Callithrix jacchus: one gene and its partner. The protein of the gene in region 1 purifies or fractionates together with the protein of each later gene. This does not show direct contact. Links are inferred from orthologs where the notes say so. Each region holds a gene or a part of one and is shown on either strand. Other genes may lie near its edges.

What was found. The genes of interacting proteins can lie anywhere in the genome.
Region 2: the proteins of NCOA4 (region 1) and FTL purify together in Homo sapiens (co-immunoprecipitation; 3 studies listed by BioGRID and IntAct, counting the BioPlex papers as one, with this or other methods). This does not show direct contact. The link is inferred for Callithrix jacchus from reciprocal best matches to the Homo sapiens genes NCOA4 and FTL.

Annotation. Positions count from the first base shown.
Region 1 is NC_133513.1:38,764,564-38,768,588, reverse strand, and holds the start of NCOA4 (nuclear receptor coactivator 4), read right to left. Parts: upstream 2,801-4,025; 5' UTR 2,736-2,800; intron 1-2,735. UniProt on the Homo sapiens protein: Cargo receptor for the autophagic turnover of the iron-binding ferritin complex, playing a central role in iron homeostasis. Acts as an adapter for delivery of ferritin to lysosomes and autophagic degradation of ferritin, a process named ferritinophagy.
Region 2 is NC_133523.1:42,797,853-42,801,416, forward strand, and holds FTL (ferritin light chain), read left to right. Parts: upstream 1-1,441; 5' UTR 1,442-1,645; coding exon 1,646-1,747; intron 1,748-1,908; coding exon 1,909-2,055; intron 2,056-2,471; coding exon 2,472-2,597; intron 2,598-2,769; coding exon 2,770-2,922; 3' UTR 2,923-3,064; downstream 3,065-3,564.

The DNA of each region.
Region 1 (4,025 bases):
TCTGGCATGTAGCAACCATTTATTTTCTGATCTCCCTTCAGAAAACACACTAGAAGGTAAGTTCCACATGGCGGGGACTTTGTCTTTTTGTTCACTGTTGTATAGTATGTGTTAAATAATTAGTTATTGAGTAAATGAATTCAGTCAGTATTTACATATAGTCTATTATGTGCCAAGCTTTTTTAAAAAACTTATCTCGTTTAGCCTCACAAACCATTAAAATGGCTATTATCATCACCATTAATTAAAAAAAAAAAAAAAAGGCTTGACAAGGTTAAATATATTACCTACAGTCACAAACTTCCAAGTACAAGAGCCAAGATTTAATCCCAGATCTGAGTCTAAAGTCCCTAACCACACCTGGTATGCTGAAAGAGTAATGAAGTATTAAGGTATTACGTATTCATCCAACAACTATGTATTGAGTACCTAAACTGACACTACTGTGATAGTCCCTCAGAACACAATGGTGAACCTGCCACCTAGAGGAGAATTTATATCATAGATTCACCAGGCAGAAAATACTAATTCTTTGAAATAAGAGACTGAGTTCAAAGTCCATCAGCAGTAGAAATGACTGGTTCTGAATGCTAATATTATATGAGGGAAAGTATTATAAAACACTAGGGGCTCTCAAATGGCAGGGGAGGGATATGTGTCAGGGTATCCTATGGAGTTTTATGAAACCCCTTCACAGGTTCCTGAGATTCTGGCACAGCTATGCTGATTTATTAAAATAGAGGTGAGGAGTACTATGTAGTTCTAAAATATATTCTCTCCCTTTGAGAAGCACATCTTCCTTTCCTTCCATAGCTCAATGTGGTTTTCCATTTCTGAAATACCTGTTTGCACAAAGGTAATAATGTAACTGTAGAGATTTATTAGATATAAATTATCACAAAACTTTCAAAGGGTAGGACTTTCTTTAGAGACCCAAGGACAAAGGCTCTCTGGAACGGAGGAAAGGAGAATATGAAGGGAATGTTATTGTGCTAGACTTTACATATATTATCTCATTTACTTATCTGAGCAAATCCGCAAGCTAGCAAATCTTCAAATGAGAAAACCAACTAAATTGCCTAAGCCACAAGGTAGCAAATGAATCTTCCTCCATTGCATCATTAGGGTAAGTCTTTCTCAAATGGTCTCACGCACTTTAAAGTTTGGAAATGTCACAGTAGGATCTTGGTACAGAAATGGGCTATGACTTCCTGTGCCATCTTCATTCCAATAAGTAACTCGAGAGTCTCTAAAACTTAGTTCGAAATTACCAAGTGCGTGGTGGAAAGCTAAGTCTATCCAAAAGCAGTTACTATGGTGAACCCGACTCTGATTACAAAGTGACACAGCTCATGCCTGTAATTCCAGCACTTTGGGAGGCCGAGGAGGGTGGATCACTAGAGGTCAGGAGTTCGAAACCAGCCTGTCCAACATGGCGAAACCCTGTCTCTACTAAAAATACAAAATTAGCCAAGCATGGTGGTGCATGCCTGTAATCCCAGCTACTCAGGAGGCTGAGGCAGGAGAATCGCTTGAACCTGGGAGGCGGAGGTTGTAATGAGCCAAGATTGTGCTATTGCACTCCAGCCTGGGCAACAAGAGCAAAACTCCATCTCAAAAAAAAAAGAGGGCCGGGCGCGGTAGCTCAAGCCTGTAATCCCAGCACTTTGGGAGGCCGAGGCAGGTGGATCACGAGGTCAAGAGATCGAGACCATCCTGGTCAACATGGTGAAACCCTGTCTCTACTAAAAATACAAAAAATTAGCTGGGCATGGTGGCGCATGCCTGTAATCCCAGCTACTCAGGAGTCTGAGGCAGAGGAATTGCCTGAACCCAGGAGGCGGAGGTTGAGTGAGCCGAGATGGCGCCATTGCACTCCAGCCTGGGTAACAAGCGAAACTCCGTCTCGGGGGGCGGGGAAAAAAAAGTGACACAAAAAGGTGTGGTTAAGAGGGAAAAAAGTTCTGCCTCTGGGGTCAGATAAATACTAGCACTCTGACTTTTGTCATTCTACTTCCGCCATTCTTGATTACATCATTCCACATTAAATCCCGTGCCAGGTGAGATTACTATTATCGTTGTTCCCACCACAAGAATTTAGTTCCATGAGAATAAGGAGTGTGTCCATTTTTTTCATTGCTATCCTCAACATCCTGGCACCAAATAAATAAATAAATGATTGTTAGTGGAATGAAACAATGAATGAGCAAGCCTCTCTCTTCTCATCTGTAAAACAGACATAATCAAGCTACTTTTCGCAATTGGGAGAATTAAATGAGACGGTATGTGTTTGGCACACAAAAGACCAAAAAACCAAGTATCTTCTTTGCATTTCCACCTAACAAGCTAGAAATGGATTATGTTCCGGACCCGTACAGCAAAACAGACAGCGCCTCGCCCGAGGCCCAGGCAAGAGGCGAGAGAAATTGTAAACTTGGAACTGTCACACCCAAAGCCAGGGGAAGGCCGGCGAGGAGCAGGAGGTGTCCGGGGCCGGGTGTGAGGAGGATCCAGGAGGAAAGGATAGGCCCGGGCCCGGCGTGTGGAGGGAAGGGGAGAAGGCCGGCCCGGGCCCGGCAGGCAGACAGGAGGAGGTGCCCGGGCCCGGCGTGTGGAGGGAAAGAGAGGAAAACGCAGGCCGGGCTGGGTGTCGGTCGGGTCGCGAAGGGACGGACAAAGCCGAGCCCAGCGGGTCAGCGGTCATCGCGCCTCCGCACGACCCATGGTGTTCTTACCAGGTCCGAATGCCTCTCCGGGAGATCCGAAAGGACCTTGGATGGACTGAGACTCGGCCCCACACAAACCTAGGGCCCAAAGGCAGAGTTCTCGCGAGAACACAATCTTCCTCCCAGGCCTCTCTCCATACGTCTGACAGTCTCGCGAGATCTCCGCTCGGGTCAGCCGGAAGCCCTTGACTGCCCTCTAGAAGGCGCAGAGCGCAGGCGCACATACCCTCCCCGCCCTTGCACAGTGTCCTTTCGCCCTTCGTAAATAAATCAACTTAAATGAAGCAAACATTTTTTTTTTGAAGGCAAATTGGGTGCCGATTACCATCCCAAGTGATTCAGATGTCCTCACAAACTAGATATTATATAGGTTCAACGTTCAGATGCAAAAATGAGTATCATAAGACACAAAAGGCTATATGATGTATAATTCCACCTTTGCCACATTTTTTTTTGCCAAAGATTGAGTAAATAAACCGGCTGAGGGGGCTCACGCCTGTAATCCCAGCACTTTCAGAGGCCGAGGCGACTGGATCACGAGGTCAGGAGATCTAAACCATCCTGGTTAACACGGTGAAACCCGACTCTACTAAAAATACAAAAAACTGGCTGAGCATGGTGGCGCGTGCCTGTAGTCCCAGCTACTCAGGAGGCTGTGGCACGGGAATCCCTTGAACCTGGAGGCAGAGTTTGCAATGAGTTGAGACCAGACCACTGCACTCCATTCCAGCATGGGCGACAGAGCAAGACTCCGTCTCAAAAAAAAAAAAAAAAACAGGTTGAGTAAATAAATAAATGTCAGAGCCCAGATTCTTTTTTCTTTGAGACAGGGTCTGGCCCTGTTGCCCAAGCTGGAGTGCAGTGGCGCAATTTCAGCTCGCGGCAACCTCTTCCTGCTGGGTTCAAGTGATTCTCCCGCCTCAACCTTCTGAGTAGGTGGGATTACATACAGACATGCGCCATGGTGCCTGGTTTTAAAATTTTTTTTGTATGGAGACAGGGTCTTTCTGTGTTATACCAAGACTACTCTCAAACTGAGCACGAGCGATCGGCTCACCTCACCTGGAATTACAAGCCTGAGCCACCACGGCCAGCTTACAGCCCAGATTATAACCCACATTATTTACTTGTGACCAGATGTTAAAATAGCGCTTCTTTCTGTCTCAGTTTTGACAGAGGGCCTCCATACTCGGTTGGCAACTGTTTCCCCACATTCCCCAGCAAAGGAGAAGATCATAGCAGGGTTTTATGGATCCCACCCAATAGTGACTCCTACAAGGGGCAAGGCAACCTCACTAC
Region 2 (3,564 bases), on another chromosome or scaffold:
AAAGTCAGGCAGTGCCAAGGGGATGAGGTCAGCCAGTGGCCCCACCCCCATCCGTCCCCCTTGGAGCCCCTTCCTGCGCTGAGCTCACCATGACTCAGCAGCCCAGCAGCCGCTGCCTGCAACAAGGACCCCAGATAGCGGCCCGGCCGGGCATCTGCAGATCCCCTTGGTCAGGGGCTGCCCCGCCGGGGCTGCTCGGAGCGGCTCTCGGTAGGGCAGGACCTGATCTCACACCCCACACCCCAGTGGCTTCAGCTCCCTGCCCAGCGCACCGGCTGCCTCGATCAGGGCGCTTAAGTAGGGTCAATGTTTGTGCCAACTGTCTCCCAGAAATCAGCATGGACCAGGCCCACGTAAAAAATCCGCATCAGCCGACGACAGATGTCTCGTCCATCGGTCCACAACGCAGAGCTTCTCTTGGTGGGCCTGAAGGAGCACATGTCAGCCAAGACACTGGGGCAACTTTAGAGATTGTTTCAGGGCCAAGGAGAATTCTCAAAGTTCTCGAGGCCAGGGGGTTGGCTTCAAAACAGCCCCCAGGAAATGCAGCCCCAGAGACACTGCAAAGCTCGAAAGAGACATTGCATTCCTCCCTGTGTCCACTCCCAGGAAAGCACTGGGCCCCTGAAAGAGCTCCAAGGTATCCCCAAAGGCCCAGCCAATCTTGGGAGGGTCCAGAAGGCTGTCCACCGTTCCAGAAGTCACCCCACCTGGTACAATGCTCCTCCCGGGCTTCCAGCACTGGGTGAACCCCACGGCTCCAGAACAACTGCCCTTTCCAAGCTGCAGAGAATCTCAAAGACGTAAAGATCTCTTCTGGGAGGGCTCCAAAAAAATACAGACTTTGCATCGTAAACCCTCGCCTCTGTAAACCCCAGGGCTCCAGTCCCCCCAACCCTCCGTCTCCCAGAGATCCCCAGGGGTTCACCTACAGCCTTTCAAACTTCCCAAGGATCCCGAGACCCCCTTATCTCGCAGCGCAAACCTAGGACAACTAGAGATCCTCTCTGCGCCTCTGAGGTGCCCCTCTCCAGACTCAAGGTTCCAGAAAAAATCCATGCCCTCGGAAACCCCAGAATCTGACTTACTTTCCCGAGACACCCCAGGACCCCAGGCTCATCAGTTCACAGGGCTCTTAATGCTCCTATACAACTCTCGCTCCCAGAGGGACCCTCACCCCGCTCATGAAACCCTTCACTTCCCTGAAGCAGGCCCAGGGCCCCCAACCCCCATCCCCCATTTCACAACAGCCTCGGGTTACAGGCGCGTGACTTCGCCCTGCTTCGGGTCGGGGGGCTGAGACTCCTTTCTGCTCCGGATTGGTCAGGCACGGCCTTCGGTCCCGCCTCCTGCCACCGCAGATTGGCCGATCGCCCGCCCCGAACGCCCCGCCCCCGAGGGCCCGCGCACTATAAAGGGAGCCGCCCTCGCCACGTCCCATAGCAGTTCGGCGGTCCCGCGGATCTGTCTCTTGCTTCAACAGTGTTTGGACGGAACAGATCCCGGGGACTCTTTCTTCCAGCCTCCGACCGCCCTCCAGTTTCCTCTCCAGTTGCAACCTCCGGGACCATCTTCTCGGTCATCTCCTGCTTCTGGGAACCTGCTAACACCGTTTTTGTGGTTAGCTCCTTTTTGCCAACCAACCATGAGCTCCCAGATTCGTCAGAATTATTCCACCGACGTGGAGGCAGCCGTCAACCACCTGGTCAATGTGTACCTGCAGGCCTCCTACACCTACCTCTCTCTGGTGAGTCCCCGGGACGCCCCTGGCCCTAATTTCCTCCAACTGCGCACCTCCGGCCCTCGGCGCAGGCGCCGGCTTTCTTTGTCCGGTCGGGTAAACAGAGGGCGGAGTTCCCCCTGGCCTCGCCTCTCGCTAACCACTGTTCCCTCCATCTCTTCCCGCAGGGCTACTATTTCGACCGCGATGATGTAGCTCTGGAAGGCGTGAGCCACTTCTTCCGCGAATTGGCCGAGGAGAAACGCGAGGGCTATGAGCGTCTCCTGAAGATGCAAAACCAGCGTGGCGGCCGCGCTCTCTTTCAGGACATCAAGGTAACTGGCTTGAGGGTAATGGACTACATCTCCCAGCAGTCCGTGCGCGCGAGGCGCCTTGGCTTGTGGGCTTAGATGTCGCGTGGGCTTCTGGGAGATTGAGTTCGGTTTTGTAAGCGTTCTTAACAGCTGGAAATGGTGTCTCACGTCGTGCAGTGCCCCCATGATGCGGCAGTCCACACCGCTGCGTGGTCTTCTATAGATGTCGTTGTAAAAGATAGGACGGAGTAGCCGGGCGCGGTGGCACCAGCCTGGCCATCATGGTGAAACCCCATTTAAAAAAAAAAAAAAGGACGGAGTTCGGAGTGATAAATACAAGGGTCACATGTCCTTTTGATCCCCAACGACTCTTGGGAAATGTCACTTTGGTTCTTTGTGCCGGTGTGTGTATTCTGAGCACTTTCCCTCCTGTATAGAAGCCGGCTCAAGATGAGTGGGGTAAAACCCTGGACGCCATGGAAGCCGCCATGGCCCTGGAGAAAAATCTGAACCAGGCTCTTTTGGATCTTCATGCCCTGGGTTCTGCCCGCACGGACCCCCATGTAAGAACCCACTGCATCCATCGCTACCCAACCATACCCCTCAAGCCTTGCCTCCCTTTGGGCAGATTTCCTTCAGAGCCACATTTCACACCTGTCACATTTCAATCTGCAGTTGGGAGCTCTCCCTCTTTTCCAGGGACTGGGTTTCTAATTTCTTCCTCTTTTCTCTCAGCTCTGTGACTTCCTGGAGAGTCACTTCCTAGATGAGGAAGTGAAAATCATCAAGAAGATGGGTGACCACCTGACCAACCTCCGCAGGCTGGCCAGCCCACAGGCTGGGCTGGGCGAGTATCTCTTTGAAAGGCTCACTCTCAAGCACGACTAAGAGCCTGCTGAGCCCGGCCACTTAGGAAGGGCCTTTGCAAAGTAACAGCGCTTCTGCCTAAGCCTCTCCCTCCAGCCACTAGGCAGCTTTCTAACTACCCTTACAAGCCTTGGACCAAATGGAAATAAAGCTATTTGAAGCAGCTGGTGGTTTTGTGTGTGGTGTGGTTGGTGCAGAAGATGAGGTGGGATCTGTTCTCATAAAGCTTCTGGCTGGATTGGGATGGCAGCGAAAAAGGCGTTGGCTGCATCTCCGGTTTTCTTATCTGTTCTAAGACAAGAGCTGTCTGTGGGTTATGTTGAGCCTGAGGGTTCTCTGCTTGCCTGGCTGTTAACTGTCCCTACCAGATGGTAGAGATAGAATTCAGGGAGTTGAATTAAGACTCAGGTTGGTCCCTGGAAACAGATCTGTTAGGTCTCAGTAGCCAGAAACAGCCCTATTTAATGGGTGATGGTGAGGCCAGGCATCATGCCAATCTCTTAAATATTGTGTGCCATGGCCGGGTGTGGTGGCTCACACCTGTGATCCCAACACTTTGGGAGGCTAAGGTGGTCGGTCATCTGAAGTCAGGAGTTGAAGACCAGCCTGGCCAACATGGTGAAACCCTGTCTCTGCTAAAAATACCAAAAAGAATAAAAAAAG